3 linked regions of the Rhinolophus ferrumequinum genome follow. The protein of the gene in region 1 purifies or fractionates together with the protein of each later gene. This does not show direct contact. Links are inferred from orthologs where the notes say so. Each region holds a gene or a part of one and is shown on either strand. Other genes may lie near its edges.

The links.
Region 2: the proteins of CANX (region 1) and PGRMC1 purify together in Homo sapiens (affinity purification with mass spectrometry; 3 studies listed by BioGRID and IntAct, with this or other methods). This does not show direct contact. The link is inferred for Rhinolophus ferrumequinum from reciprocal best matches to the Homo sapiens genes CANX and PGRMC1.
Region 3: the proteins of CANX (region 1) and GBA1 purify together in Homo sapiens (affinity purification with mass spectrometry; 3 studies listed by BioGRID and IntAct, with this or other methods). This does not show direct contact. The link is inferred for Rhinolophus ferrumequinum from reciprocal best matches to the Homo sapiens genes CANX and GBA1.

What each region holds. Positions count from the first base shown.
Region 1 is NC_046307.1:2,865,687-2,875,998, reverse strand, and holds the start of CANX (calnexin), read right to left. Parts: upstream 4,167-10,312; 5' UTR 3,983-4,166; intron 1,265-3,982; exon of another isoform or gene 1,135-1,264; intron 1-1,134. Other genes in the region: CBY3 (protein chibby homolog 3), read left to right, coding at 4,452-4,751. UniProt on the Homo sapiens protein: Calcium-binding protein that interacts with newly synthesized monoglucosylated glycoproteins in the endoplasmic reticulum. It may act in assisting protein assembly and/or in the retention within the ER of unassembled protein subunits.
Region 2 is NC_046284.1:37,651,574-37,662,469, forward strand, and holds the start of PGRMC1 (membrane-associated progesterone receptor component 1), read right to left. Parts: upstream 4,185-10,896; 5' UTR 4,085-4,184; coding exon 3,760-4,084; intron 299-3,759; coding exon 143-298; intron 1-142. UniProt on the Homo sapiens protein: Component of a progesterone-binding protein complex. Binds progesterone. Has many reported cellular functions (heme homeostasis, interaction with CYPs). Required for the maintenance of uterine histoarchitecture and normal female reproductive lifespan.
Region 3 is NC_046305.1:267,792-278,711, forward strand, and holds the start of GBA1 (lysosomal acid glucosylceramidase), read right to left. Parts: upstream 4,185-10,920; 5' UTR 4,115-4,184; coding exon of another isoform or gene 4,087-4,114; intron 1-4,086. Other genes in the region: protein ENTREP3, read right to left, coding at 6,574-6,747, 6,842-7,095, 7,207-7,275, 7,866-8,411, 8,675-8,744, 9,072-9,171, 9,303-9,478, 10,009-10,116 and 3 more. UniProt on the Homo sapiens protein: Glucosylceramidase that catalyzes, within the lysosomal compartment, the hydrolysis of glucosylceramides/GlcCers (such as beta-D-glucosyl-(1<->1')-N-acylsphing-4-enine) into free ceramides (such as N-acylsphing-4-enine) and glucose.

The sequences.
Region 1 (10,312 bases):
CACAACTAGACTGAAACAACTATTTGACTTGGAGCTGATGGGTCCAGGAAAAACACTTAAAATAAATAAAAGTTAAAAAACAAAAAAATAAAACTGAATGATTTTGCATAACAAGAAAAACTCGCTTTCCTGCAATTACATTATGGGATTTCTTCTTTAACTCTTCCTTGCAATAGTGCACATACAATCTTAACATTTGGATATGGAAATGTCCATGTTTATCGATCCCCCCCCCCGCCCGCCGCTTTGTCACAAATTACTTTTCTTTATGAATTCTCCTAAATTTATTTTTGGTTAATAATTCTGTTCGCAGCACACATTCTAAAAAAGACAGTCCATATTAATTTACTATACACATTTAATAATGTACATGAAACTTCAATTGAACACAAAATATTCTATTTAACAGAAACAGACACATTCTGCATCAAATTTTAGCAAATTCAGACAACTACTTAGATCAACTTTAGGAATGGGCAAACACTAAAGAAATATTAAATTTGTCACCTTCAAAGGCAGAAGCTTTATCCTCAATTAAGGGTCCCTTATTGAAGGGGCCTATTAAAGCAAAAAACAATTCTGTTAAATTGTTAAAGAAAGAGATCTTTAAAACAAATGGAGGTTCAGATTATTTTTAAGTTTATTAAATAAAAATGTTTGTATTTTATCTTTGTGTCTACTTTTGCATCTATTTTCATGAGATATTGGTCTATGGCTTTGGCTTTCTTTTCTTGTGAAGTCTATCTGGCTTTGGTATCGGGGTAATCATTGGCCTCACAGAATGAGCAGGGAAATGTTCTCCCTGTTCTTTTTTTGTTCTTTTTTGGAAGTCTGTGAAGGATTGGTGTTAATTCTTCCCTAAGTATTTGGTAGAATTCACCAGTGAAGCCATTTGGCTCTGGGCTTTTCCTTGTGGGACTCTGTTAATAAATTCCAACTTTAATTCCTTCAATCTATGAAAAATTAGAAAGAGGAACAGAAGAAATGGCCTAGCTAATGTTCTTGTTTGTTTTTTTTTAAAAAAAAAAGGTGATTTTTTTTTTTTTTAAAGGAAGTGTGTAACAAAAGGTGAGGAGGCAGTCTTTCATGTAGGCTACCCATTCATCTTTTTAAAGTCTTTCTGGGTTTAAATACCTTAGGTTGTCTGATTTAATCCTCACGAAAATCCCAGGAGGTTCTATCATCCCCATGTGACACAGGACGAATTTAAGACTAAGAGAAGTCACACAAACTGTCCAAGGACACAGGTTAGACACACAGTATTGTTTATGAGCAGGAACTCATCAACTCCTTAGGTAGTGACTTGGCATATTGGGTGAATTATTCATTTCAGGGCCTCAATGTCTTCAACTCTAAAATGAGAATAACATCACTGTATACTTCTTCGGGTTGTGGTATAAACAAAATGCATGGGAGGCACTTACGAAAGTGCCCAGCTTACAGCATATGCTCAGTACCAGCAGTGAGCTCTATTACTATGGTTGCCAAGGGATGCCATTTAAATTTTAATGGTTCTAAAGCTCTAGAGTTTTAAGGCAAATAAAAAATTGTTCAATCTTAGACTAGAAAGGAAGCAGTTAAAAGACATCTGATTCCGGTCACAGATAAACTGTTTTACTTTTACTACCCTTTTGTGCCTTCTGATTTTACCACGTGCTAGTCAAAAAACAAAAGCACTTAAAGGGGAAAAAGTATATAAAATTCCAAGTGGTCTTTATTGTAAATGCTCATCCATTTAAAAAGAGATTCATACTACCTTTAGTTTTGAATTTTGTTTTTCAGACATGAGAATTGATTTTTCCATAGTACATTCTTTTTCGTTATAAAATACATAGCTTTAAGATGTGAACACTCAAAATATACTGAAGATCGTCTAAATTCTTTAGAAAACAAAATTCTCCAAATACTTTTCATAGCTCAGTATTAAGCTTAATTTAAAAGTACATTATGTTGCAGTAAACAAAGCATTTAACCAGCACTTTCCTGACAAAGTTCAACAGCAAGCTACACATAGTTTACAACTCTGTTCAGGCACTTTTAGTATTTCCTAGGAATTGTTCTGAGCTGCCAGTTCTGTTTGCACAGTTCATTACACTATTCAAAGTAATTTCATGTTCGTCATCCTAGCTGTCCCTCCCAATAGCCCCCTAATGGTAAGGTAGACAGAAGACTTCTCATTTCCATTTTAAAGATGTTTAACCGAAGTATTTCATAAGCTAGTTACCCATGCTGGGCCTGGAATACAAGTCTCTTGAGCATGCACTGATGCTTACCAACTGTCACTTCATCCCTTTAAGCTATTTGCGGGGCATAGTGAACTCTGTAACAAAAAGGATGCAATAGCCTGATTGCCAAAACTGCAGCAACAACTTGTCAAAACGTTTACCGCTCGTGGTCCTTGAAGATAATGTGCTAGTTGAAACTGTTGAGTTAAGATAAGATAGTCAGGTGTAGAGGGATGCTGACACCCATTTTCAAACAGGTCAGAAAATGTTTGCTGCAGGATACATTCACTCCAGTGCAGTTCACCCTAGCCTTTCTATGATCGTTACCCGGCTTGTTTGCTTGTGCACCGGGGTTGGAGCACAGAACTCCCACGGTTCTTTACCTCTGCTCTAAGTATAATTATAACGTATGTACAACATGGCAGTGATTCTATTCATGACCCTCAGACACTGCTGGAAAAAGACTAAGCTACAGAACGGTTTTAAATATCAACAGAATTCTTCCCTTTAAAAAAAAACTTTTACTTATTAAAAATATCAAGCAAAATGTTCCATTTCCTAAATGAGACTTAACTGTGGCTCACCTTTGTCCTCCTAAGCTTTTAATATTCAGCTCAGTTTAACTTCCCTCAACCAGCATTCAGTGTCATGCTTAGCAGTTGATCCACTAGGTCCAGTTTTTTCCTCTCATTGCCATAAATATGACTGCAGGCCCTGGGAAACAGGACTTAACCAACTTTAAGAGTAGGATGTCTGTCAGTGTGGAGGACCAACAGCATCAGACTATAATTTATTGCAGTAATTTGCTGTGTAGTTAGTATGTATCAGACATCTTTGTCCTATTTTATACACATCTTAATTTAATTCTAATAACTCCAACAGGTATTAGTATACCCATCACTTGGGGAGAAACGTGGTACAAAAGGTAAGTAAATTGCCCAAGTTCACACAGCAACAAACGGCTGATGAAGGCCATGCAACAGGGCCTTAACCTTAATACCAAAACTGCCTAGCCCTCAACTATAATCCCAATGTGATCATAAAATTAACTGCATGACCTTGGGCCAGTCATTTCATGGCTTCGGGCCTGCCTGTTCCTCCACTATCAAACGACCTGCCCACAGTGAGCTTTTGGGTGCTTCCCTGCTTTTAATGTCCGGTGAATTTGCGATTGGATTACACCCCACCCCCTAACAGGTAAAAATGTTAAGACAAGTTTTTCAACCACTGCGTGTTCTAGCACATTCTCTTCAGGGTGCTAGGAGCCAGTCTTCGCCCTGCGGTTTTATTTTCAAATATTGAACCTGTAACACTAGTCCTAAATATTGTCTGTCGGTCCGATATCACCTTTCCCAGTACTAAGGGTAGTGACTAAGCCCGATCCCACTCCAGATCTATAGCCGGTTACTCCAGCCCACCTCGAGGCTTCTCAGGCAGCCAGCAAAAGGCCTGAGAAAGCCCTGGAAGCAAAGCCATAGAAAGAAGCTGGTTTTCGCTGAGGTCGAGGTAGGCTTCAGGGCACCTGCCACGCCTCCCAACCCCAGCGGCGCGGCCTGCGCCTGGCTCCCCAACCAAGGCGGCCCAGGTTCAGGCTCGCCCCACACGGCCGGAGCCGAGCGTCGGGCCGGGCCTGAGCCCTCGAAACCCAGCCCGACCCCTCCGCCCCGGCCACGCCCGACCCCTCGGCCGCGGGGCCGCGCACCAAGGCCCCCGGGGTCTTCACAGGCCCTAAGACACCCGTAGGCCTCCAGTCTCACCTCGAGCCTCCCCGAGACCGCCGGCGGCGCCCGCACTTCCTCCTGCCCGCACACCTGGCCCCACGCTGCAGGAGAGACAGCAGCAGAGGCGGCACGACCGTCACGTGCCGCAGAACCAAGAGGCCTAGGCTGCCGCTGCACCTCGCGAGCGAGCACCGCCGCACGAAACCCGGCCCCACGTCCTCCCCTCGCTCCTGAGTAGCTACGGCTAGTGCCAAGTTCCGCCCCCACCGCGCCAGCTCCGGAATGCGGTTGGTCAGTGTGGCCATCGCTCTAATCACCTTCCCATACGCCCCCTAGGGCTATTCTTCGTGGAGTGTGGGGGTTGGCTGGGAGTGAGACAGGAAGTGGCTGTTGGTTGGGCGGGAGGGGAAGGGGCGGGCCACGGCCGATTGGGAACCGTGGGCGCGCGCCCTGGGGCGGGGCCCGCCCGGCAGGCGTTCCCGCGCCCCGTTGCCCTGGTGTCTTAATGGGCAGACTGCCGGGCGTTTCAACCGAAGGTAGTTTCGACCCTTCGGTTCCTGGATCCGGGCCCCAGGACCGGCATGCCGTTCCCCTCGCTGTGGGGGCAAATGGCAAGCGGCTGAAGGAGTGGGCGGTCTGGCGGACCATCGGGAAGGGCCATTTCCCCTTGCAGCGAGTGCGAGGCCCGGACAGGGTGCAGGCGGAACCCGCACCGGCTCCTTCCGCACGGCCTGCAGTTGCCTGCACAGCGCTGTGTAACCACGCGTCACCGTTCCTGCAGAGTCATCGCTCTGGGCCTAGCAGAGTGCGGCCTCCACTTTACCCATGGAAAACTAGAGTCCAGAATGCTGTAATGCAAGGTTTTTTTCAACTTTCAATTTGTGATGTTTCCTGAAGTACAATTAGTACAACAGACACCCGACAGGATTGAGAGAAAAGGATGGTGCAATGGTAAAAGATTTCAAACACACAATTTTTGAAGCCCACTTTTAGCGCATCTTCACTGGTCAATATGCCGCCTCAGGAAATGGAAGTAGCCTAAGGTTTTCTTAGACCTTTATGGGTCCTGGTCTCTGCCTTCCATTTGTTTGGATACCCAGAGGCTGATTCCTAGAATGGAAAAAACTAGAATCAATAGGTGTATTACCTATCTTAGAACAAGCTTTATTCCCTCATGCCACCTAGTAGGGGAAAAGAGGTGTTAGAGTGTGGTGTTTGCATGTTTACTTGAGTTTAATATTCTTAAACTCCCAGCCCCCAAATTTGCGTAAGGGAGTTTTGCTTTCTTGTTTACTCGGGGAAGTGGATATTCAAGGCAGCATAGTATTCTGGATGCCACATGTTCCAAACAAGGAGCTTAAAATGTAGTTACAGAAACTGTATGTGAGCAAAACAGCTACTCCAGCAAAGGTATATGCTAAAAGATGGTGGTACTAAACAGAATTTGGTGGGGTTTTGAGTTGCGAGGAACTGCTTTTCACCTGGAATGGACAGGGAAATAGGTAAGACTTGAGCTGGGCTTGGCAGGATACGCAGGATTTCTATAGGTGGAGAGTTGGAGGAAGGCTTCTTTAGATGAGGGAACAGCATATGGAAAGGCAGGAAAATGGGTATCGTGTGTTTGGGAACACCATGTATGGAAGTGTTTGAACTGGAGAAAGGTGCTCAGGAAAGTCAGCTCCAGAGCTGGTTAGGAGCAGACCTTGAAGGCCTAGCCAAGGATTTGTAGGGAGAGTTTTTAGATTTGGATCACAATTTAGATTGTTTTTGAATTATTATTTTAATATTATTTCAGGGAGGTCTGAAAGAGAGACAGACTAGCAGCTGTGAAGCTGGGTAGGAAGCCACTTTTTGCAGTTGATTAAAGTGCAGGATTAGGAAATGGTAGGTTTATGGAAACAAAAGCATTAACTGTCGATGCTAAAGAACGGTCCATTGCATTCAGGGGCTAGGGAAAGAGCAACCAAAGCCAACACTAAGAGTGTGAGCCTAGGGCGGCCGCATAGCTCAGTTGGTTAGAGCCCAGTGCTCTTAACAACAAGGTTGCCGGTTTGATCCCCATATGGGCCACTGTGAGCTGTGTCCTCCACAACTAGATTGAAACAGCTACTGGAGCTGATGGGTCCTGGAAAAACACAAATAAATAAAAGTTTAAAAAAAAAAAAAAGAGTGTGAGCCTAAGTGATGGGAGGTGAAGTGTGGAGCCCCCAAAAAGAGGGAATTCATGCTTGGCTGGTCCTGGGGATCCTGGGTCTGGGCTCAAGACACAGCAGGCTCAAGACAGTGCAGGACTGGAAGACCTGCAAAGGATCCTGCCAGGGATTTTTCAGCTAAAGCATAATGTTTCAAAGGCGGAAGCCAAGGACAAACTTCCAAGGACAGAAATAAGATTTCCTTTCCTTCCTTCCTTCCTCTCCTCCCCGCTCCTCCCTTCCCCTCTCCTTTCTCCTCTCCTCTCCTCTCCTCTCCTCTCCTCTCCTCTCCTCTCCTCTCCTCTCCTCTCCTCTCCTCTCCTCTCCTCTCCTCTCCTCTCCTCTCCTCTCCTCTCCTCTCCTCTCCTCTCCTCTCCTCTCCTCTCCTCTCCTCTCCTCTCCTCTCCTCTCAATTTGAAAGCAGTCACTGTTTATTAACTGACCAAATTACAAAAATAATCATGGTAATCATCTCAGTTCATCCTTCTAATAAACCTGTCGATCCGGTTTCTCCTGGAAAAGATAATTTGCAGGCCGCAGGAAGTTGAAGGTTTTTCAACGGTATGGATCTCATGAATCAAATCCTCCATGCAGATGATGCCATATTTACCATGAGACGGAACAGTCTAAGTGTTATCTCAGGGCAATTCACTTCCTGTTGATTTTGCCATAACCACACTTATAGATCCATTCATTTCTGACCTCAGATTTGGGTACCCCCATGCAATATATTGTTCCACGCCCCCAGCATGTTAACTGAAGTTTTGTTGAGCTTAACAAAGGTGCCATTGAAGATCCAGTGAAGGGAAAGAAACTGCAACACCTTTCAGATCCTCATCTATGTTAACATTGAATGCTTTTAATTCCTGAGTAACATTCTGTTGTACAAGTATGCCATTTGTTGCTTTTGAATCATTTGTGCTTTTAATTCCTGAGTAATATTCTATCCTATGAATGTGCCACAGTTCGCTTATCCATTCATCAGGTAATAGACACCCGGCTGCACCCAATTTTTGGTTATATGATATAAACCTGCCATACACATGGTGTACCACTCTTTGTATAAACATATGTTTTAATTTTCCTTTAATAACCTTTTTCGAGGTCTACTACCTCAGTTGGTAGTTACGTCCTCCGGCTGCTTCCTGAGAAAGACTGTGTACTAGTTTTTTTGAAATCTTGCACATCTAAAATTGTCTGTATTCTGCCCTCTGACAAGGAGAAAATTCTGAAATGTCCTAAATTAAATTACAGCACACTAAAGGGTGGAAGGAAGAGACAAGAGCGATTAATCAAATAACAACTGCAGGGCAAAACCAACAAAACTGCTTACATTCCTGAGTATATGTTGAAACTGAATTAACTTCCAGGTGACTATTTGTACAATTATCTAAAGAGAATGTCCAGTCACCAGTACTTCTTGCTTACACCTTCTGGACTGTTGCCCACCATCAGTCTAAAGGAGCAAACATGTCTTCCTTACAGATTCTGCACCTAACCCAGAACTCTTCCCGCGTCACCATCTCCCACTCTTTTTATCTAAAGCCAATGTAAATTCTTTCAAAACAACATACATGTTTCTTCCCCAAACTGTTTCCATAAAAGCCCATCTACCCCAGGATTGTAGACATCTTGCCTTCTCCGTCTGGCCCTGCTGTTGGTGATTCAGAGTGCATGCGCAGGACCTGGTCCTTTTCTGACTAGTGTTTTGGCTCAATAAACCCCTTCCTTCAGAAAAGATTTTGGCCATGAAATGTTTTTTGTTTAACACCTTACATCATTTTTTTAAACCTTATTGAAATATAATTTACATACCATAAAGTTTGCCTACTGTAAGTAAGATTCAATACTTTTTAGTAAATTTATAGAATTGTGCAACCATTATCACAATCCAATTTTAGAATATTTCCATCACCCAAAAGTTCCTGTGTACCCATTTGCAGTCAACTCTTAGCCAACCTCAGGCAACCATTGAACTGCTTTCTCCGTCTATTGATTTCCCTTTTCTTTATTTCATATAAATGGAATCATACAATATGTGGTCTATTTGATTTCTTTTACTTAGCATAATGTTTTTGCAGTTGATTCATGTTGTAGCATGTATCAGGAATTCATTTCTTTTTATTGCTGAACAATATTCCATTGCATGTGTGGGGGAGGCACAAACTATCCTCTACCCTCAAGGTTCTATCAGCTGGTCTAATAATCAAATAGACATGAGACAAATTAGCAAGAGAAAATAAAATTTAAAGCACACATATGTATAGGAGCCCCATATACAGGAGAGGTTCAGAGATAGAAAGGGAGATTGAGATACATAAGATACCCTGAGCAAGGGATGATGTAAGGTGCCTTCCGGACCTCAAAGGGTCATTGCAGGATGATAAGAGCAGGCACTCAATAAATAGAAGTCTGCCCTGCCCTATAGATAGGTCAAAAGAAGTTATTTCTGATAATCGCTTATGGACAAGGCCTCTAATTCAAATTCTTCTAGGTAGTTAAAAGAGAGGGGCAGAAGTTTCTGAGACTGAAGCTAAAATTGCCTTTAGCTCAAAGTACTCTGTATACCACTGAGGCACTTCTTGGGGTGGCTCATTCTGGACCCCCACACATGGGTATACCACATTTTGTTTATCCATTGAACAGCTGATGGACATTTAGATTGTTTCCAGGTTTCAGCTATAATAAGTAATGATACTATGAACATTTGTACACGAGTCCTTTTTTTTTTTTTTTTAATTGGGGAAGGGGACAGGACTTTATTGGGGAACAGTGTGTACTTCCAGGATTTTTTCCAAGTCAAGTTGTCCTTTCAATCTTAGTTGTGTAGGGCTCAGCTCAGCTCCAGGTCCAGTTGCGGTTGTTAGTTGCAGGGGGCGCAGCCCAGCATCCCTTGCGGGAGTCGAACCAGCAACCTTGTGGTAGAGAGGATGCGCTCCAACCAACTGAGCCATCTGGGAGCTCAGCGGCAGCTCAGCTCAAGGTGCTGTGTTCAGTCTTAGTTGCAGGGGGCATAGCCCACCATCTCTTGTGGGACTTGAGGAGTCGAACTGGCAACCTTGTTGACAGCCCACTGGCCCATGTGGGAATCAAACCAGCAGCCTTCAGAGTTAGGAGAACAGAGCTCCAACTGCCTAAGCCACCAGACCGGCCCCTGTACACAAGTCTTTATGTGGACATATTTCCATTTTGTTTGGGTAGTACATCAAGATAGAATTGCTGACTTGTAGGGTAAGTTTAACTTTTTGAGAACAAAGTGGCTGCTTTATTTTACATTCCCCTGGAAGAGGGTTTCAGTTTCTCCACATCATCACCAACAATTGCTATTGTCTGTCCTTTTGATTACAGCCATTCTAGTGGGTGTGTAGTGTGATATCTCACTGTGGTTTGTTCCAAATCCAGGGAGCTCCCTCTGGCAGTGAAGCCATTGGCTTTTGCAGCCTGCCCTGTCCCGGTGCAGCTTATCCTGCTGACCAAGCTAGGGGACTGTGAGCAGCCCCAGGCAAAAATGCCACAGATCCTTACTGTTCTCACCCAGATTTCAGCAGTTATTCATGGATAAGTGCTTCTCAATTTCTCATTTGCTTTTGGTCGATTTCCAGAGCCCTGTTTAAAAATTATTTTCTCCAGTTTTATAATTGTTTTCTGGAGAGAGAATTTGCTGACCTCACTCCACCAAACTGCTATTCTCATACTTTCAGGTTAAGATTTTTTAATCTAAACTTTTCCCTGTTTCCTCTAAGTTGCTTTTTTCTTTTCTGTTTGCTAGCCTTGGTCTCCATGTTTTACATTGCAAGGCTTTTTTGTACATTAGCTTTTAAAACCCCAGTACCCAAGCTATGCCCACAGAACATTTCATCAGAATCTCTGGGGGAGGGCCCAGCCATTTGAAAATCAAAATAATTAAGTGAACTATGAAACACTGAAAAATACAACTGTCAACACATTTTTAAAAAGAAAAATAGAAATTAATGTCTATACCTGTAAAGAGAAAACCTACACTATTCCATGTTTCTCCTGTACTCTCACACTACTACCACACTCACACTTCCTACACCAAATGTGCGGGGGATTTCCCCCAGAAAGCAATTCTCTGACGCCCACTGGATGTCCTACAACTTAACTCCATTCTGATACTACCTACCTGGAGACAGCATCAGATCACACAGAGGAA
Region 2 (10,896 bases), on another chromosome or scaffold:
ACCATGAACTTGATCTGTCTAAGATTCAGAAGCCAATGAAAGTGCTCCCAAGTTTCAGGCTGTTTGGTAATAACTATTGGACTGCCGTGAATCCCATTACTGGTCACAATTTGATCTAGACACAATTTTAAAAAATGCTTACAAGTGAACTGAGAGTCCCAGTCACTCAGGGTCTCCTGCTGGGCAGGAGTGAGGTCAGAAAGGTCATCGTACTCATCCTTCAGGGCTTCCTTATCCAGGCAAAATGTGGCGAGGCCCCTGGATGCATCTCTTCCCGCAAAGACTCCATACGGCCCCTCTTTTAAAGACAAAACAAAACCAAAGACCAATTCTTTATTAGACAGTCAAGTTCTCTGTTGTTCATGCACAGAAAATGGCTTCCTTACCCATCAACATAGAAAGCCCTCTTTTGGAATACCCAATTCCATTTGGAAAACGTAAGTGATGTTGATACTTTAATCATTATGTAGTGGATAGTAAAAGATCTGTTGTTATTAAACTTTTAGTGGGAGATGAGGGTAAGGGGGATCAAATATATGGTGATGGAGGGAGAGCTGACTCTGGGTGGTGAACACACGGTGTGATTTATGGATGATGTGGTGCAGAATTGTGCACCTGAAATCTATGTAATTTTGCTAACAATTGTCACCCCAATAAATTAAAAAAAACCAAACTTTTAAATAACTAAAACTAAATCAAAATGTTATACATTATAATTAATTTCCTGTGATTTTCAAATAGCTAATAAAAAGGCCATAAAAGACTATTGCACCCATCCAGGTAATAATGGGTCCACAGGTCAGAATTCAGTTTTAGGACATTGAACCCAAAGCCTGGCTCTGTTCTGGGCACCTGGGCTACACCAGGGAAAGTTATGGTTTCTTAAGATAATAAACACTAAGGTTTTAGTAAATGAACTAAATGCATTCTAATATGTTTTAATGAGTCAAACATATCGTATAGAGATTTTTGGTTGTGAGACTGTATTAAACATTAACATGTGGCACCTGCAGGAGAAATCATTTTATAAGAGTATTAGAAATCTATCCACATGTTACATAATCTTCACTGTCAATAAAGAGATAGCACAGAGATCAGCTCTATCACTGTTTTTGGTGGCCTTGAAGAACAGAAGACTAAAAATCCTAAAACTATCATGGGAAATAAAGGCTCAATCAATATCCCAAACTAATTCTATAAAACATTAGAATGCTATTACATATATTATACTGAACTTTTGTCTAAGAGAGCAGTGACTTATTCTGTAGGTACTTAAAGTGGATGTTTATACTTATTTAAATATTGCACAAATACATAAAAAGAATCCAGTGTACTTTAAACAATGTGTGTTTCCCCAAAGGCTGACTGAGTAGCAACCCTGACATTAAAAAGTTTGTAGGTAACCACTATGTCAAGTATGAAAATGGGTCAAGTTTCAATATGGCCTGGTCACCTGCAACCTCAATCCACCAGGCTTTTTTCAAATTAGATTAACTTTAAGATCAACTTTTAAATGTTATCACCAGAATATTCACTCCATGGAATGTAAACTCCATGAGCCGAGATTTGTTTTTTGTTGTTGTTCACTGCCATAGCCCCAGCACCTACAAAAGTGCCACGCATAGAATAGGCACTCAAATGTATAATTCTTAGGAATCCTTTGTAACATGAAGTATCCTTTCCACATGATGTCATACATTCATGGTATCACGGGCTTATAGTGCAGGGGAGAGACTAAGAGTGGGCCATCCTTATGATTTTAAAGAGGGACAACTACTGTGTTTCCCCGAAAATAAGACCTAGCCGGACCATCAGCTCTACTATGTCCTTTGGAGCAAAAATTAATATAAGACCCGGTATTATATTATATTGTATTATATACCCGGTCTTATTTTATTAATATAAGACCAAGTCTTATACTAATTTTTGCTCCAAAAGACACATTAGAACTGATGGTCTGGCTAGGTCCTTTTTTTTGGGGAAACACGGTAAGGCCCACAGAGAACAATGCTTTGCACTGGGTCACACAGCTAGTCAATGATCCAACAAGGGCTAGAACCCAGGTTGCCTGACTCCCAGTTTTGTGCTCTGTGCACAGGCCTACATTCCTCTCAATGACTTTGCAAACTACAATCATATGATGATGCCTCATGCATGTGTTTTGACAACTTTATGATATAGCTCAGTAATAACAGGTATTTACACGATTATGTTTATTGATAATGCCTCTAGGTGTGCCGCTGTAAGTGACAATACAGGTGTGGTTTTTAAATTATTTTGACAGTTACATGTCTGCATTAAGTAGGTCTATTAAATGATCCACAAGGAAAAACTGCTAAGTGAGAGATCCTTAAAAATTTTAACATATCTGATTTTTTTGAGTCAGACTGGGAGACTAAGACAAAGCAGAAGTGGGAATGGCCAGATTGCTGCCTTCTATACTCTTCCAGAGCAGCAGGGAAGAGAACGCTGTCAATGTGGAAACGTTCCCTGAGCTCCCTGATTTTAGAAGAGTCCATATTGGAGGAGTTAAAATAAAATGTCTTCCACCTCCTCTGCAAATACTCTTTAAAGCAGAGCTTTCCAAACCTGGCCTGGGGAAGCATGTTAAAAGTGCAGATTCCAGGTGATCTCCCCCAGAGACTCTTCCGTTGTTAAGGTGATTAGGCCAGAGTCAGTAGGTTAACTCATTTGCATCAGGTGATTCTGATCCAACCAGGCTTAAAAAAAAGCCACATCACTAAGGCACCTTCAAGCCTGCCTCCTCCAACAGCTCAGCAGTCATCCATCCACCCCTCATTTCATTATCCTGAATCCCCACACCCAGCAGCCTTCAGAGTCCTACCCCTTTTGTTTCTCAGGATCCTCCCACTTCTCCCTCCCTCCATTTTAATTTTTTTTTTGGCTTCTAGTCCTTTCTCTCCTGATGTAGTTTAAACTACTATATTACCTCCTCATGTTGCTACATTCCCATTGTCCACCACATCCAGCCTTTATTCCTCCTTCAACCAGCTCCCTTCCTCCTACGGAACCTCCCTTGTTCAACTTCCATCTTTTCCCAGTCCGCCACACACAGCGCGCGCACACACATGCCACACACATACCTGACACATGCCACACTCCAAGCACGCGCGCACGCACACACTGCCCGACAAGCCACATACACTGACAATGCACACAGAGCGCACACTCACATCATTCACCCCCACGCACGATGCGTCTACCTGCTGGTAATCCCTTCTCCCACACCCTCACATCCGACCAAGGCTACTCCTGGCGTCATCGGCCTTCACGTCCTCTCCAAGGCTGGATCTCCCTCCTCCAGACCTCCACCCATGCCTCCCTCAAGACACCCACATTTCCTTTCTTCAGCCCAACACCGCACCCTCCTTTCAGGCAACCTCAAACCTAATACCTTCGAAAATCCCCCAACACTGCGTTCTGCTGTGCCCCCTAAACGTTTCCAGACTCGCGATTTTATCCACCCACCCCGGCTTAAGGGCATCAGACTCTCCACCCCTTATCCCCGCGTTAGCGGCGCGAGGCCGGGAATCTGCGTCTCCCACTGGCCCGCAACCCTTCTAGAGCGTCCCTTGCCCGCGGTGGGAGCCGTCGGGCCATCACCGCCTGCCCGCCCTCACTGGCTCGTCGCCATTCTTCCCCCCGGGGACGCTCTGCTCCCCCCTCAACCCTCCCGGATTTTGCCCCGTGCCGGGGCCCCTTCCTTTGTCTCCGCGTCCCCAGGGCGGGCCGCCATACCGGGCCCGTAGAACTTGCGACCTTTGGTCACATCGAACACCTTGCCGTTGATGGCCATGAGTATGCGCGGGTCCTGGACGCCGTCAAAGCGCCGCAGCTCGGCAGGGGTGAAGTCGCGCCGCTTAAGGCGGGGCAGCGGGGGCGGCTCGTCGTCGTCGCTGTCGCTGCTGGCCGCCGGCTGGTCCCCGCGCACGATCTTGTAAAGCAGGAAGATGCAGAGACCGAGCAGCAGCAGGTTGAGCGGCGACATGAAAATCTCGTTCAGCAGCCCGCCCTCCATCTCGTTCGGGTCAGCGCCCGTCGCCACCACATCCTCGGCAGCCATGATCACTGAAGCAAAGGTTTGAGCTGGGTGGGGAGGGCTCCGGAACTCGCTGCTTTCTCCTCCCTCTCCGAGAGCTAGTGACGCCTGAGGATCTGCGGACAAGGACTAATCAGGGGAGGAGGCGGGGGAAAATGGGCGGAGCCTCCAGCCCCTCCTCTCCCGCAGCCGCTGTTGCGCGCGGCCCGGCTGAGTCCCGCCCCGCCCAGCCCAGGGCCCCCATCTTCCTGTGGATCGTAGCTCCCTTCCCCCAGCCAGATCCGGCCTTCCAGCCAGAGAGATCGCTGAGTCCACCCCTCAGTTCCACCTGCTTGGCCCAGGTCCCCACTAGACGTAATCCTCACGCCAACTGGCTCACGGCGACGCAGGGCGTAGCCCTACTCCGCACCCCGCTTGCTCCTGGCGCAAAGACCCCCTTGGAGAGCCTTGGTTCTGCTAAGCTCTGTCTGAGACCCTCTGTCACTTCATGCCCACCAAACACCGACTCCATTTCTCTTGCTTCAGGCTTCTCCGTCGCCTCAATTTCGAAGCCTCATCTTTCCCCGGCCATACCCCAGGGCCTCCAGGCTTTCTTGGAAGACAGGAAATTTACTCCTCGAGCTCCTTTTTCCACCTTTGAGACCCAGCCTACCCATTTTCACCTGAGGAACCCCTATTCGCTCTCATGACGACACTTCTCCAATCTCCCCCCGCCCCAGACGCTGTGGGGTGAACACCCCCGGGATAGCTAAAGTCAGTGTACAGGCCCCCATCTGACAACTCCCCCCCAAATCTGGGAAAACGATCAGATTGCGCGATTTACTATGGGTTCTTTCTCAGAAAACTAAATCCTTTTGCGATCACTGATTTGCTCAGTCCCAACGCATCAGCAAGCAACATTCTGTTGTGCTTTTTTTCCCTCTCAGAATAATGAGAAAAGTTTCTTTGACAGCTTTCTATTTGAAGTCTATCGAACGACGCTTGGCAGTCATAATAACCCTGTGCTGAAGCCCGGACGAAGGCGGGAGTTTGGAAGGATCCTAGTAGATTTGGTTCCTTTCTTTCCTAGGTATTTCATCCAGCCTTTGGTGTGCTAGCCGGCTGCACAGGAGCAGGTCTTATGGAGGAAGGGCTGTCTATACCCTTTAGAGTCTTAATCTGGCTGCCTCTTTATTGTGGCAGGGGGAGGGGAGCCGAAGAAAAGGTGGTGGGGGGGGGGGATAATTAAAACCAAGCCATGCCAACATCTGCAGCCCAGAGCTGTACTTTTCCGTGAGGAATTCTGTTCGCTTGCACATAACTTACTCCCCCTCCCAACAAGCAGGCTTCTTACTTCAGAATTCTGAAAATTTCTGGCACAAACAGCTTCCATCCCTGCCCCCATCCCATCTTCTTAAATCCTTTAAAAATGCATGTGAGCTGAACAATCTTTAAATCTGCCCACGCATTTTTTTTCACAGATCTAAATTTACGATAAGCTGAAATGGTCGTTTTAGATCATTTGTCAAACTTCTTCAATTTAATCAAGGGAAAACAGGCTCAAAATCAGCTGTACTTAGGATCTAATTATCTTTTTAAAAAATTGTATGGCCAAGACAGTTTTACAAACCAACAAACTTGTGAAAAATATTTTCATTTGTAACCAATATAATAGACAAAGGGTTGATATTTTTTAAGACCTCATTTTAATTGACAAGAAAAATCCAGAAGACTCTAGATAATAAATGGGCAAAAATAGAAATAGGTAGTACACAGAGGAGGGGATACTAATGGTGGATAAGTATATGAGAAGTGTTAAGTCTCACTAGCAATAAAAAATGGAGATGGAAGGAGAACTGACTCTGGGTGGCGAACACACAATGTAATTTATAGATGATGTGATACAGAATTGCACACCTGAAATCTATGTAATTTTAATAACAATTGTCACCCCAATAAATTTAAAAAACAATTAAAAAAAAGAAAAAAATGGAGATACCGCTGTCATGCTCAACGTTCCTATAAGAAAGATAAAAGCAAAAAAAAAGGATGGTATACAATGCTGGCAAGCGAGTGGTGAGACTCTTGTCATACCGTTGGGAGGAGTAAAAATTGGTATAACCTTTTGTTATCCATAAAAATATTTTCTATCAATTAATCCCACCTCTAGAAGTCTGCTCTTTCATCCAGTAATTCCACTTCTAGGAATCTATCCTAAGGGAACACTTAGAAATACAGACAAAAATTTTATTACTGAGATGCTCATCAGAGAATCATTTTTAATATGGAAAAACTGGAAATAACATGAATGTTCAATTTCAAGAAATACCTAATTAGTCGAATTCAATTGTGACAGAACTATTAAATGGTGTATGATACAGTCATCCAAGTATTATCATGACATGGGAAAATACGTGTATTTATGTTTTAATCTTAAGCAGCAAAACAGGATACAAAACTATATACAGTATGAACTCAACTATGTAAAAAAAACCCCACAAAAAATGAGTAAGCGGTAGCACGAAAGGAAACATGCTAAAATGTTAACTGTTGGGATTGTTACTTCCTTCTTTATTCTTTTCCACATTTTCCACAATAAGCACATGCCCTTTTAACTTCGGGGAGGAAAATGGTTTATTATTCCTTTTCTGAAAAAAAATGTAGAATGGTAATACATGTTTACTATAACAAACTTTATATGTACGTGTATAAAGTAAAAAATGAAACTCATCTCCCTCTCCCAACTCTCCAAACAATCTTTAGATCCGGCCTGCACATTAGCAGTTTGGTTTATATTCCTGTAGACATATGAAACACAGACACAGACACACACACACACACACACACACACACACACACACAGATTTTTACTTATAAAACTGGGGAATTCTTTATTTGTATTTTTAAATTACAGTTGACATTCAGTATTATATTCGTTTCAGGTATATATCTTAGTGGTTAGACATTTATATAACTTCTAATGTGGTCCACCCAATAAGCCTAGTATCCATCTGGCACCATACATAGTTATAAAAATATTATTGACTACCTTCCCTATGCTGTACTTAAAATAATAAATGATTCATCAGTTTTTTTCTAATAAAGAGATACAAAGTAAAAAATAAGAATAAGCCATTAGCTCCCACCCAGATAACCCCTGTTGGAATTTTTTAAAAGTCATATTCATTTAAGGTGAAAAAATTCAAACTATGGGAAGATACAAAAGGTAAATTAAAGCCCCTTTCCCCACCCCTGATTCTCTCTCCTCAAAGGTAACCACTATTAAAAGTGGGGGATATGTCAGACAGAGACAAATACTGTATGATAGCTCTTGTACGAGATCTGACAATTAAGTTCGCAAACTTGACACTGTGTGCTTACATTGGCAGCACTGTACAAACAGCTCGGTAAGGTTTCATAACTTTGGTATGTCAGTGTCTCGCAGCTGTGTTTGTGTTGACGTGTGGCGGTGTCTTGCTGAGTGGCGTTCATTATTGTTGTTGTGTGTTTTTGTGTGCTGTTGCGAGAATGTCTGAGCTTGAATTAGAACAATGAACAAACATTAAATTTCTTGCTAAACTTGGCAAGAGTGGAAGTGAAATCAGGGACATATTAGTCCAAGTTTATGGGAATAATGCCATGAAGAAAACAGCAGTGTACCAATGGATTAAATGTTTTTCTGAGGGGAGAAAATGAGTCACTGATGAAGAGAGGTCACGGCAGCCAGTAACGAACAGAACTGACAAAAACATAGCAAAAAATCATCGAATTGTTTATCAAAATTGTCAGCTGACTGTGAGAAGCATAGCAGACTACGGAAACATCGATAGAGAAACAGGAAAATCTTACTTGAAAATCTTGGCATAAGAAAGGTGTGTGCAAAAATGATCCCAAAGGAGCTCACTGATGAACAAAAGCAAAGGAGAGTCAAAGTTTGCCAAGACCTTTTGGTGAGGCAAGGTGATGTTTTGGGCCATGTTATCACTGGTGTAGCAATAGGACCCTGAAACAAAGCATCAAAGTGCACAAGGGAAATCAGACAATTTTCCACGACCAAAAAAGTTTCGTCAGTTCAAATCAAGAGTCAAAACAATGTTGCTAACATTTTTTAATATTGGAGGGATTTTCATTATGAATTAGTACCAACTGGACAAACAGTTAACCAAGTTTACTATTTGGAAGTGCTAAAAAGGCTGCATAAAAAAGTTAGATGAAAAAGACCTGAACTTTTCGCCAACAATTCATGGCTTTTGCATCACGACAATGCACCAGCTCACATGGCACTATCTGTGAGGGAGTTTTTAGACAGTAAACAAATAACTGTATTGGTACACCCTCCCTACTCACCTGATCTGGCCCCCAATGACTTTTTTCTTTACCTGAAGATAAGGAAATATTGAAAGGAAGACATTTTGATGACATTCAGGACATCAAGGATAATACGATGACAGCTCTGATGGCCACTCCAGAAAAAGAGTCCCAAAATTGTTTTGAAGGGTGGACTAGGCGCTGGTGTTGTTGCATAGCTTCCCAAGGGGAGTACGTCGAAGGTGACTGTAGTGATATTCAGCAATGAGTGATGTAGCACTTTTTCTGGGATGAGTTTATGAAATTAATTGTTAGACCTTGTATAAATGCTTTAAAACCAGACTTGATGTTAAGTAAAGTGGGATCTTAGGTAACACTGCGATGTTGAGATTGTTGAATAAAAGCATCCCACCAGTCTGGCTCATGTCAGAATATTGGGTGGAAAGGTCTTGTCCATAATGATAGTTCTCAAGTTCTCTGGAAGTAAGCAAGGTGCTCCCGACTAAAAAAACCACTTCAAAACATGAAAGTTGCATGTTCTTTGGCTTCAAATCAATTTCGAAAGCCTATATATTTGACCTGGGGACTACTTATTTCCCAAGATATGTACGTTAAGTCTTTTAATGTTTCCAAACTTCCTGCCTCCTTTAAATTATTTTCAAAGATTTTTAAGAGCTTTTAAGGAGAAATAGCACAATTGGCTGATTAGCTAGAAAATGTGTGGGAAGTAATTCAACCTCCCTAGTAATCAAATAAATCCAAAGGAACATAATAGCAAAATACCATTTTCATCATTCAAATTACTGAAGTGTTCTTTTTGCCTTTGGCTTCTTAAAGCATTTTAAGAAAGGTAATACTTGATGTTGGGAAGTATGTAACAAGACAAGAACTCTGACACAATGCTGGTGAGAGTGAAATTGCTAGAATGAAAGATTAATTTTGTTCACCAATTTATTTAAGCCCCTAGACCATGTCTGCTATGTAGTTGGTGACCAATAAATATTTGTTGAATTAAAGTACATTGTGAGTGGGTCCTTTCAGCAACATACATTAAGAGTCTTAAATTATTCATAACCCGTGACCAAGGAATCTAACTTCCAGAAATTTTTGCTAGGGAAGTACTCAGGGATATGAACAGATATTTGTATAGAAAAATCACAAAGCATGATATAATAGCAAAAACCTGGAAACCACCTAAGTATCCAAGGATGCTCCCCATCTCACTCATAGTAAAAGCCCAAAGTCCTACAAGAACCTACAGGATTTGATCCACCCCACCCTACCCTTACCTTTAGGACTCTAGGACCTTGTTTCCCACTTCATTCCATTACTATACTCTAGTCATAGTGACCTCCTTGCTGGCCTTCGAACAATCAGGTATATTCCAGTTCCTTTGTACCTGTGATTTCTTTTGTTGGAATGCTCTTCCCCAACTATTCTTATGTATCATTCTCTCACTGCTTTCAAATCTCAAAACATCCTCCCACTACTCTCCATTCCTTTCCCCAGCTTTTTTTTTTCCTATTGCATTTACTGCTGCTTTTTTTTTTTTTTTTACAGTGCTGCTTTTTTTAAAAATTAGTTTTAGGTGAACAAAACAATGTAATAATTAGACATTTACACCCCTCAAAAAGTGATAACTCCCCTACCCCAATGTACTACCCCTCTGACATCATATATAGTTGTTATAATTCCATTGACTCTATTCCCCATGCTGTACTCCACATCCTGTGACTATATATATTAAATTATAGTTGACATATTGTATTATTCAGCTTCAGCTTCAGGTGTGCAGCACAGTGGTCAGGCATCTACACCATCCATGAAGTGGTCTTTCTAATAAGACACGTGCCCATCTGACACCTTGTGGAATCTTTACAACATTATTGATTATATTCCCCAAACTGTCTCTCATCTCCTCATGGCAATATTGTGGCTACCAATTTGTATTTCTAATCCCCTCACCTTCTCCCCCATCCCCACCCCCTCCCATCTAGCAACCCTCAGTTATTTCTCTATATCTCTGAGACTATTTCTGTTTAGTTTGCTCATTTATTCTGTTCCTTAGGTTCCACATATAAGTGAGATCCTATAGTATTTGCCTTTCTCCGTCTGACTTATTTCACTTAGCATAATATTCTCTAGGTCCATCCATATCATTGCAAATGGTAAGATATCATTCTTCTTTATGGCCGAGTAATACTCCATTGTATAAATGTAGCACAGTTTCTTAATCCAGTCATCTATCAATGGGCATTTCAGTTGTTTCCATGTTTTGGCTATTGTGAATAGCACTGCAATAAACATAGGGGTGCATATATTTTTTTCGAATTAGCATTTTGGAATTCTCTAGATAGATACCTATAAGTGGAATGGCTGGGTCATAAGGTAGTTCCATTTTCAGTTTTTTGAGATACCTCCATACTGTTTTCCACAGTGGCCACACCAATCTGCAAGCCCACCAACAGTGCACAAGGGTTCCCTTTTCTCCACATCCTTGTCAGCACTTGTTGTTTGCTGATTTATTGATGATAGCCATTCTGATAAGA
Region 3 (10,920 bases), on another chromosome or scaffold:
GTCCGGCTGATTTATATTTGATTTTATATTTGCATATGTTGTTGAGCAGAAATGTCCAAAGTCAAGGAGAATGAGAGACCATTCTTCCTTGTGCAGGGCTGTCCTGCATGTTCTAGAACGTCTACCTTTTCCTGGGCTCCATTAAATCCTCCAAGTGCCTCTTAAGGGTGGTCTCCACTAAAGACGCAAGTTCCCAAAATGTCCCCTAGGGGGCGACCACTGCCCTAGGGAGTCACCTCAAACGCCTGGGACTCAGTGCAGTGTCCACTAGGGGTGTACCAGGTGGCCATACTGTGTTCCTCTGTCCCCTTCTTAAAAGATGTAGCTAAATGCCATGGATGGACAACTGAGAAATGAACATAAGCGAAGAGCAGAAGTGCAAAAATAGTTTGGCTGACCCAGCAGTGGAGTTCTGATTCCACTTGGGCCAGCCCTGTGCCAGGCTGCGGCTTGGCTCTGACAGCAAACTCCAGCCCTGGAGACTGGTTAGGTTCCATGTCATACGCTCCTTGCTCTTTAAGCCTCAAACCAACTCCCTAAAGAGGACGCCCACCCCCTCCCCCAAGTCCCACTGTCACCTCCAAGGTCAAATCAAAGAGAGACACTTTCTCATTCCATGCACAGAATAGTAGATGCTCAAAAAATACCAGATGGATGAATGAATAAACCAATCAACCCACGACCTGACCTTTCAGCTCTGGTTTCTGATCTGAAGATACCCCACTCCTCCTGATGACTGGTCCCCAAAATGACTCCTTTCTCCAGTAAGACCCTGTCTGCCCCTGACTAGGGTATGGCTTCCCTCTTGCATCCATGTGATTAACCAACTCTGTTTTCCCCCAGCTTCATTGAGATGTAATTGACATATAACATCGTGCCAGTTTAAGAAAATGTATACACTACACGATGATTACAATAGTTTGATTAACCAACTCTTAAACAATAACCACGGCATTCCCGGTAAAGCCCAGTGCAAACGGAAAGGACTTGAACCTCACGCGCTATCCTGTATTTTTTTCTCAAGATAATAGCCAATCTTTCGTGAGTGCCTATTACATGCATTGGCCCGACGGGCCCACGTTACAGATGAGAAGACTGAGACCAACAGAAGGTAGGTAAGTGGCAGAGCGAAGCCTAAATTCAGATCCGTCCTACGCTGAAGCCCAAGCCACTCTTAGTCGTTATGTCCAAGAATGCTCCCTGAAATATGCTCCCTGAAAGAGTCCAAGAAATATGCTCCCCGATATTTCAGTAGCATATTTTTAGCCTTCCTTAATGTGATAAACACGTGCAGAGTAAATTTCATGGGTCCTATTTCTTTGGAACCTCAAAACATTCCACTCAGAGGAGAGCACAGACTCGGGGCTCAGTGTTTGCTGAATAAGTAGGTTGTTATCAATCACAGTCCGCTATGCAAGGCCCTGCCTGTCGGGTGTTTCAGGGGCGTCCTTGGTGTGGTTTGAAGGAGAATGAACTTCAGAAAGAACGAACCTAACTCTGAACATGATTATTAGGGTCAGAGAGAGACCCAGTGGAGGGGGCTTGGTTCAGGCTACCGGAAGGACGGCTTCAAATACTGAACACCCAGGACCTGCTGGCACATTCCCACTGTTCTGAGCCTGAGGGGACAGACAGGAAGTATAACCGTTATAGTTATTCAGCCTTTATTTCTTCCCTCCGGTAGTCAAAGGAGACGTGTGTCCAAGACCTCTACCTCATTTCTTGTTTCCTCTGGCCGCCACCCTTTCTCTCCTGTCCCCTAAAGGAGAAGACACGGGGAAGGGTGTTTTAGCATGGACACCGGAGGGATTTCACAATTTAAATCCTCGCTCCATGACTCCCTACCTCTGAGATACTGGGAAGTTACTTGACTTCTTGAGCGTGTTTCCTCATCTCCAAAACTCTTGCCTCAAGGGTTGTTAGGAGGATTTAATGCAACACTGCATGTAATGTTATTGTTCATGCCAAACTTCTGGACCGAATTGCTACACTCGACGAGTCCTCTCTCAGACTTCCTCTTCTCCAAAGGCCAACTCCGCCCTCCCGGCTCCAAAACCGCTCTCACCTGACTTTTTACCTCACTTGACACAGGACCCCTCCCTTCTTGAAGTGCTCTCCTTTGTTCCCATGACTCTGCCCTCTCCTGGTTGGATGTCGCCCCCACTTCTGGCTGCTCCTTCTCCTTTGCAGGCTTCCCCGCCTCTTTCTGCCTGCAGGTGTTCTTTGAGGTTTTATCCTCGGCCTTCTCTTCTCGTAAATCACGCCCACTCCGAAGAGACAACCCCATGGCTTTGATTACCTACTAGTCGCTTTTGGTTCCCAAATCTCCACCTCCAACCCCAATCTTTCTCCTGCGGTGGAATGCAATCTCATGGGGCCGTGAGAACTCTGCCTTCCAGACCTTTCCTCTGTGTGTCTCCCATACACCTCAGCAGGCCCATCATGAGATCGTCCCCTCACCCAGCCAAGCCCGCTCTTCCTCCTGTGTTCTTTCCCCAGGAATGGAAGCCCTTCCTCCCGGAACCTGGGGCTCCTTCCTGACTGTAACCCCTGTCCCCCTCGCCCCATCATTTCTCTCCTGAACTACAGAAGCCTCTCTCTTGGCCTCCTAACCTCCCCTTTTCTCCTCCAATCCATCCTCCAAGAAGAACTAGATGGTCTAATTAAAATATAAATTCCGAAGCTACACTCTCCATCCTCCACTCCTTCAGTGGGTTCCACTCTGCCCTGAAGAGGGCTTCGGGGATCTTTGTCCCACCTTCACGTCTCACCCCTCCATTTGCACATATGGTCCACTGGGCTGCGTCCCATTTCCTTTCATAGGCTGCGTTCCACCTTGCCTCTGCTCTCCTCTACGCCACCCGTCCTTTCTTTTTCTCTCTTGAAAAAAATGAGTAACTCCTCTTTTCCATCACGAATGCCTCAGCCTTACCATTATTGCCATTAGTACCATTTTCCTGACACCGCTGGCTGGATTAGGCACCCCTTCAATGAGCTCCCCAACTCATACAGTCAACAAATAACGGGCGTCTACTACGTGCCGGGCACTGTTCTAGATCCTGGGGCTACCGCAACAAATACGATGATGAAGCTCCTAGCTGTTTGGAGCTTATGTCCTAGAAGCTGGTAGACACAAAACCAGGCAAACTCATGTGGCCATGAGAACTAGGAAGCAAAATAAAGGGGTAAGGCGTGCTGGATAGAACCAGTGAGGGGGATAATTGTAAGACATGACTTTAGAGAAGGAGGCCAGGGGCCAGCTTCTGCAGGGCCCTGGTGGCCAAGGAATCTGAATTTTGTTCTAAGATGGAAATCCACTGGAGAGTTTGGTGCAGGGAAGTGAAAAGATCAGATTTATATTTTTAAAAGGTCATTTTGGCTGCTGTGTAGAAATCAGACTGTAAGGGGCAAGTGCCAAGACAGGGAGACCAGCTGCCAGTTGGAACCTGCCACAGGACTTGTCCCCTTGGCCACAGGACTTGACCCCTTGTTCTCCATCCTTCGACCCTGAGTCCTCGCAAAGGGTCTTCCTTCCGTATGCATTCCTGTTCACCTCCATTCAGCCTAGTTAATGCCTATTCATCTTTCAGAACTCACTTCAGACGTCATTTTCTCCAAAAGATTCTCTCCCTCCACACACACCTCTCCTGTAACACAAGCTCATAGCCCTTACGTCTCCTTTGTAGCTCTTATCACAATGAATTAATTGTACAAGTGGCTTAATGTCAGTTACGGCGCCCAGTGGCCTGCTAACTCGTTTGCCTGCTGTTGGGTCGGTGCGTAAGCCCAGGAGGGTACGGACCAGTCTGTCCTGGCTCCCAGGCGTATCCCCGGGGCGCGCGGGGCGCTGGTCCAGGGCCCCACTGAACGTGTGTCGAATGACTGAAGAATACATCAATTACACAGACCTTATTCCCACTCCACCCCTCAAAAAACAAGAGGAGGATTCGAAGATTCGGTCCCTTCTTCTTCATTACTAAATTACGACCATCCCTACAAATAATAGCAATGATGACGAAAAGGAGAAGTGCAAACGCAGGGAGGGGAGAGTTAAGACGCAAACGGTGCTACATCCAGCGCGCCTACCGTGGGCGAAGCGAAACAGCAACCCCATCCGGAGGCGAAGGGAAATCCCACTGCAGCCCCGCAAAGCCGGGGGGGAGGGGCTGGAGAAGGGGGCTCCGCCGAGCCCGCGCCCGAGAGGCTGCGCCCCCAAGACGCGCGTCCGCGAGACGCGCAGGGGGCGGGGCGGGGCGGGACCGGGCCCCTTCCGCGCTCCCTACTGGTCTTCCTGGGGCCGAACGGTTCTCGTTGACCAGCCGTAGCCCAGATGCGGCGCAAGCGTATTCGGGGGTCTGCTGGGCGGCGGGAAGCGCGCGTGCGCCTTGGCGCACACCCGCCAGCACGCTGTCCTGGGCGGGGGGAGACTGAATTCCCTCAGTGAGTCCAGCCCCCGGAAGTTGAGCGGGATTCTTGAGCTTCCTCCTTCGAGAACCTCAGGATAGAGAACATTCAGTGCCCAGAAGCTGTCCCTTTGGGAGCACCAATTTCTAGTCGCTCCTACCTCATTTTGTCATCCAGGCCGCACCCCAACCCTCCCTGGGGCGGGGTTGTTATGATGGTGAATTATTCAAGAAGCCTCGCAGCCTGCCGCCATCTGTGGACAGCGCCCCTCCTTCCTCCCTTCCTTCCCTGCGGGGCACGCGGCTGTCGCCAATATCATAGGGTCGGGAAGCTTTCCAGGCCCCACTCTGTTACTTAAGTAACTTGAGCTTGTTGAGGACCTACTAAGTGTTAGACCCAGGGCAGTGAGCCAGTCCTTGCTCTCAGGAGCTTACGTTCCATGGGATCACACAGACGAAAGCAAGGTAATTTTAGATAGTGCTAAGTGCCCCCAAACACTGTGGCAGTGTGAGAGAATGACTGGGGTGGGGGTGTGGGGATGCTCAGTGAGAAGGTGAGAATGGAACTAAGACCCGAATTAGGTAAAGGCAGTGGCCACAGGAGAGCGCGTTGAGTGCTTGGGAAAGAGCTGGCGAAAAGGCGCTGACCATCGTCTCAGGAGGAGTTTGGAGATTATTCTAAATACAATGGGAAGCCATCAGATTTGGGCGGAACCTTGATGTGACATGATTTCTTATCATTTTGCCGAGTGGAGAATGGATTGTTAGAATGGAAATAGATCCATTTAGAGGCTGGTAGCTTGAGCTGGGTAGCTGGTGAGACATGGATGAATTCAGGATAGGATCGGATGTGTTGCTTGAGGGCAAAGAAATCAGGATGAGTCCCAAGCTTCTGGAATGTGCAGCTGTGTGAGTGGCGGCGCCACTTGTTGAGAAGGAACCGTTGCAAGAGGAACAGGTTCTGGAGGTGGGAATCAAGAGTTCAGTTGTGACCACGTTGAGGCTGAGATGCCCTTAGACATCCCAGGAGAGATTCGAGTTGGAGGTTGGAGCGCATGGAGAGGTCAAGGAGGGAGTTCTTCGTGAACACATAGCTGGTATTTAAAGCCGTGGAGCCCGTGGGTTTTGGTAGAGACAGCAACAGACAGAGTGGAAGTAGAAAAGGGCCGAGGGGAGAGCCCTGGGGCCTGCCAGAGTTAAGCAGTCCAGTAAGGTATAAAAATCGCAAAGGATAACGAAAGGGTAAAGTAGGAGGAAAAAGAGAATATGTCTTCAAAGACTAGAAAGGGAAAAAGTCAAGAGGAAAGACGCAGATTTTCTGAGTAAATGCTTCTTAGAGGTCAAGTGAGATGCAGGTAGAGAAACGGTCATTTCACTGGGTCTGGTATCTTTTGGTTACTGAAAATTGTCAGAGTAGCGCCTGAGGAGAGGTAGAGTCAGCAGCTGTGGGGGTAAGTTCAGGGAAGGAAGAAAACCTTTTTCTATGAAAAGGAGGAGAGATACAGTGTGGCAGCTGGAAAGAAATGTACGAGTTTTGGCAGAGTTTTCTTAACTAGGAGAGATGCTAGAACAAATTTCATTGGTGATAAAGCATGATCCAGAAGAGAAGGGGAAAACTGAAATTTATTGAAGGCTTAGTGTGTGAAGGCTTCTTAGCTTTAGAAACATTTGTCCTCACCATATTTTACAGGTCAGGCAATGGAGGTTAAATAACTTGCCCAAGGTCATGCAGCTAGAGGTGGCAGAGCTGAGAGGCCAGCCAGATTTTTATGACTTCATGCCTCACCACCCAATTGCGCAGACACACAGCCCCCTATGCTTAGACACCCGGGACATGCCTTGTCCGGCCATAGTTGCCCTGGCAAATCAAAGAGAGCTACTCTCGTGCTGGGGGGTCAGGACTTTTCCTCCTCCAGTGCTGTAAGCAGGGGCATCTCCCCCACAGCCTGAACACCCATGCACCACAGGACAGAAGCTCTCCCAGGCCAGAGGAACAGAGGCAAGCAGCAGGAGCCCCCAGAGGTAGGAGGGAAAGGGATTCTTTTGGGGGGTGTTGAGCGGATTTCTTTTTGTGCCAGCCAGTGCAAGGGAATGCTGGGGGCTGCTGGTCCCAACCAGCTGGTGCCCACGGCCCCAGTATTCATCTGTTCAGTGTGGCAAGAAGCCCAGGTCACAGCCCAGTCTCCCGGTTGCCCCCATTGAGGCTGAGGCTGTGGGGTCGGGTACCACGCTCCAGCCGGCGGCCAGACAGGAGGCGCCGCAAGGAGGAGCCGGAGCTCAGATCGCCACAGCTTCGAAGGTGGAGGCTCTCTCGGCCTGGCCGGCCCCACGGGCTCCGGGGCACCTGAAGGGACACAGGAGTGGGCATCAGTGTGGCCCAACCCAACCGGCAGCTCCAGGCTTTCCTGGGTATCCTCCCAGGCTCCCCTAATGCCTACCTGCTTATGCCCGTGGGCTCCATTCCCACTGGGCTCTGGGGCCTTCCTGGACATCTGGAGGAAACGAGTGACCAGGCCCCGGCCTGGCCAGCTGCCCTTCAGGTCCCCCAGGGAGTGGGCGGGTGCAGGGCCCGAGGGCAGGGGGACCTTCTGGAAGGTGGGCACAGGGCGCCGTTTCTCGGCTGAGTGGGCACGCAGCAGCTTGGGGGATGGGCATCGGGCTAGCCGGAAGAGGCAGGCGTCAGAGCAGAGCCCTGCAGAGAGAGAGAGAGAGGTTGTGGGTGGAAAGGGACAGGGATACACGTGCGGAGAGTGCCAGGCAGCACGCCTTGCCCCGACCCCTGGGCACGGACCACATGGCTGACCTGTATCTGCAGAGGAAACAGAAGCAACTTCTTCCTCAAGCACTTTGGTATAAAGGTCCCTGAAGTCAGCTGGGGAGAGAAATGGACCTAGTGGACATGCTCAGGGGACACGCCCACGCAGCCCACCACCCTCCTGTGAGGATTCAAGCCCACAGGCGCTTTCACAGGTCCCACGCCCCATCCCCTCTGCTCTGAGATGGGACAGTTAGTTCACCGACAAAGGGACAGGGGCGGCATCCTTCACAGTGGCTACCTCCCCGGGGCGGGCGGGCACACATGGGGGTAGTGAGCACGTCCTGGGCCAAGGCTAAGCATTTTCCTCGCGTTATCTCATTTCTCAGTAACTCTACCGTACCTATGGTTGGGGTACCATTGTGACACCTGTTTTACAGGTGAGAAATTGAGGCTTCGTAAATGGCCCAGGTGGGAGCTATAGAATTGGGTTTCAAAGAACAAATCCTGCTCCCTTTAGCCACAAAGCTATACTGATGTTGTTTTTTCTAGGAGGTGAACACTCGAGAAGTGTCTGCCGCAGGGGCGACTCACCCTTTCTCCTCGGGGACCTCGACAGTGTCCCAGATCTCTGGCAGCACTGGCCCTCCACCTCCCAGTACCTACCCTCCTGAACCTCGGTGGGGCGGGGTGGGGGGGCTGCTCACCGGTGTCGCTGGAGGTGGTGATGCCGGGGTCACTGTGGGACCGTGGCAGCAGCAGCGGGGAAGGGGGAGCCGGATGAGGAGGCCGGTGCCCCGGTGGGGTGAGGGAACCTGAGCTATCGCTGAAGCGGCGGGTGGGGGCTCGGGTGGGAGGGGCTGCAGCTGGCCTGCTGCCTCCCCGGGGGACCCGGCGCCTCAGCTCCGGGAAGCAGGGTCCCGCCCAGGGCGGCCAGCCCTCCAGCCGGTGACAGCTGCGGGCGGCTGTTGGGGCACCCAGCGGGGGTGGGGCTTCCGGGGCAGAGCAGGAATAGGAGCGGGCGGCCCGCGGCGGCCGTCGGGGCAGCGGGCTGTCCTCAAAGGGGCCGCGCAGGCCGCAGTCCAGGCTGAGGCAGTAACCCGCGCGGCTACGCTGAATGGAGCGGAAGAGCACGTAGTCCACGGAGCGTACGGAGCCCTGCAGCTCCAGCAGGCAGGAGTCCTCGGACGGGCTGGAGCCCCCCGGGAGGTCGCCGATGGCTGACAGCACCAGAGACCCGCTGTCCATGGACACTGTGGGCGGCAGGGGGCGCTGGGTAGCACCAGCCCCACCCGGCCTGGGCAGTTCTTCTCCGGCCCAGCCTCTGGGGGGCCACGCTGCCTCCAGTTTTATCTCAAAAGAGACAGGTAAGTCCAGGGTTCCAAGAAGCCACCGCCCTCGCTTGTCCCTACACCACCAACTCAGCCTCCTCTCCCCCTTTTTTGCTCCTTCCCCAGCTCTGCTATCCTAGGCGGCCGGCCCTTGTGTGTGCCCCCACCCACCACTTTCTGCTCACCATCTACAATGGAGGCCACTCTCTCGCAGATGCAGGAACTGTCATGAAGCTGAGGGTCAAACAGAGTGGCCTGCAGAAGGCACAAGAGTCAAGAGTCCAGCCCCACACACTGACACGGCACCCCCATGTGCTGGACAGCGCACTGGGGGCCTGGAGTGCAGTCTAGCTGTGTCCCTTTGCACAAGTCACTCATGAGGGCCTCAGTTCCCACATGTGTAAAATAGAAATAATAGTTCCTACCCCACGCACCTCACTGCGCTCTAGGGAAGATCAAAGTGGTGCACTAGTGTTATAGGATCGTGAGAACTATTATCTGTATCCAGTGACTGTGGCCAACTCACTCAGCTTTCTGGGCTCTAGCCCTGGCTCCCTCGCCCATACCAAGCCGTGCTCTTACCTGGCTGTCTCCTCGTAGCCCCATGACGGCCTCATAAGAAGGGGGGCAATCAGTAGGGTACGAGGGCACTGGGCTGTCCATGGAGCCATTGTAGGTGATACTGGCAGGAGAGGGGAGAGGGTCAAAGCCTGGAGAGCTCCTGCTCCACAAAGACCCTCCCCACCATCCCAGGCTGCAGCCCCGCCCCCTCCCCCTGCCGTAGCTCCCTCAGCAGGGTCCAGCAGGCCTCACCTCTGTGCATCTGTTTCTGAGCTGCAGGTGTACTCTGGGGGATAGTAGGGAGGTGGGGGTACAGGCGGTACAAATTCCTCCAAGTCCAGCATGGTGTGCAGGAGAGGGGCTGGGGGCGAGGACGTACAGGCCAGAGGCCCCAGGGGGCCTGAGACTGAGCGCTCAGGAGCCAGCTGCTGGGGAGCAAGCAGGTCAGCAAGCCTGGTTTCTGGGAACACAACTCTGGCTCCCAAACTCCTCTCTTATCTACCTTTTTCTGGCCCCACCCCCTCCAAGAAGCTCAGTTTGGGCCCCTCCCTCAGCCGGAACAAGCTCCTCCTCTAACCCTGCCCCCACCAAGGACCTCCAGCTCTGGCCCTGCCCATCTAGAAACGACTCCTTTATGACCCGGTCTGCACCCAGAATCACCACGTACTTTCTGTCACCTCCAGAACATCAACCCTTTATCCCCACCCCCATCGAGGACCTTCTTGACTCCGCCCAACTTCCAGTCTCACTCTCTAAGGCCCCTCCCCTGGCCCCAGACTGGCATGACATACTTCTTTCACTCCCTGTCATTCCCCTCCTCGACCCCCTCTTTGGTCACCCAAGCATCCCTCCAATAATTGACATGCCTCATAGGTGGCCCGCGCTTTAGCTACATCCCCTCGACCGGAGTCCCCGCCCCCATCATACCTGCTTGGCACTGACCCTGGCCCCCCCTCACCGTGTGCACAAGGTCCAGGGAGAAGATTTGGATGCAGCAGACAATAGCTGAGAGGGTACAGATTATGGCGGCACAAATGGTGAGCCCACAGACACTGAAGAGCAGGTTCTGGGGAAGGAAGGGGGATGTGAGAGGGGAGGGGTAAATCCCACAGGTTCGGCCTGTGAAGACCCCAGGAGGGGATGCATGGGGAAGGAAGAATGGTGCAGGTGTGCGTGCGTGCTCACCTTGAGGGCCCCTCGGGCTTCATCACAGGTGGAGTTAGGGGCAACTTTCAGTTCCTGCCCTGAGCCCTGACAGGGCCGGAGGAGGGTAACGGAGGGGCAGCACACACACACCTTTCCTTCCTGAGTGGAAGTGGGGACGGTGAGGCAGTCTGAGTCAGGGCACACCCAGGCGTCCCACACAGCTCCCCCAACTACTTCTCTCGGCTCGCCCTCCTCAGATCTCACCATGGAGCAGTCTCGGAAGTCTCGGGCCAGCTGGGCATTCTTACAGGACAGAACAGAGCCGGCCATGCTCAGCATGACACACAGCACCGACAGCAACGAGAAGAAGGAGATCTGGGGGGTAAAGGGTGCAGGTTCAGGCTGGGACCCTCAGGAGTGCCCCTCCACCACGGAGGGCACCACCCTTCCTCACACACACTTGTGCTGGGCTGACGCGAACTGGAGAGCCAGTTCCCTTCTCGAGGGCCTAAAGGGACAGCCCCTCAGGTGCTGGGCACCTGCCCCCCAGTGGGCACCAGACCCTGGCACCTACCACTAGAGTGAACGGCCGCTTCCAGGACACAATGCCAACCACCCCGGAGAACGCCAGCTGGGGACAGAGTGGGCACAGGCTCAGCCTGGCAGGGGAGGCACCTGAGTGAGCTCCTCACCACAGGGTGCACTCAGCCCTGTAAGGAAGGAG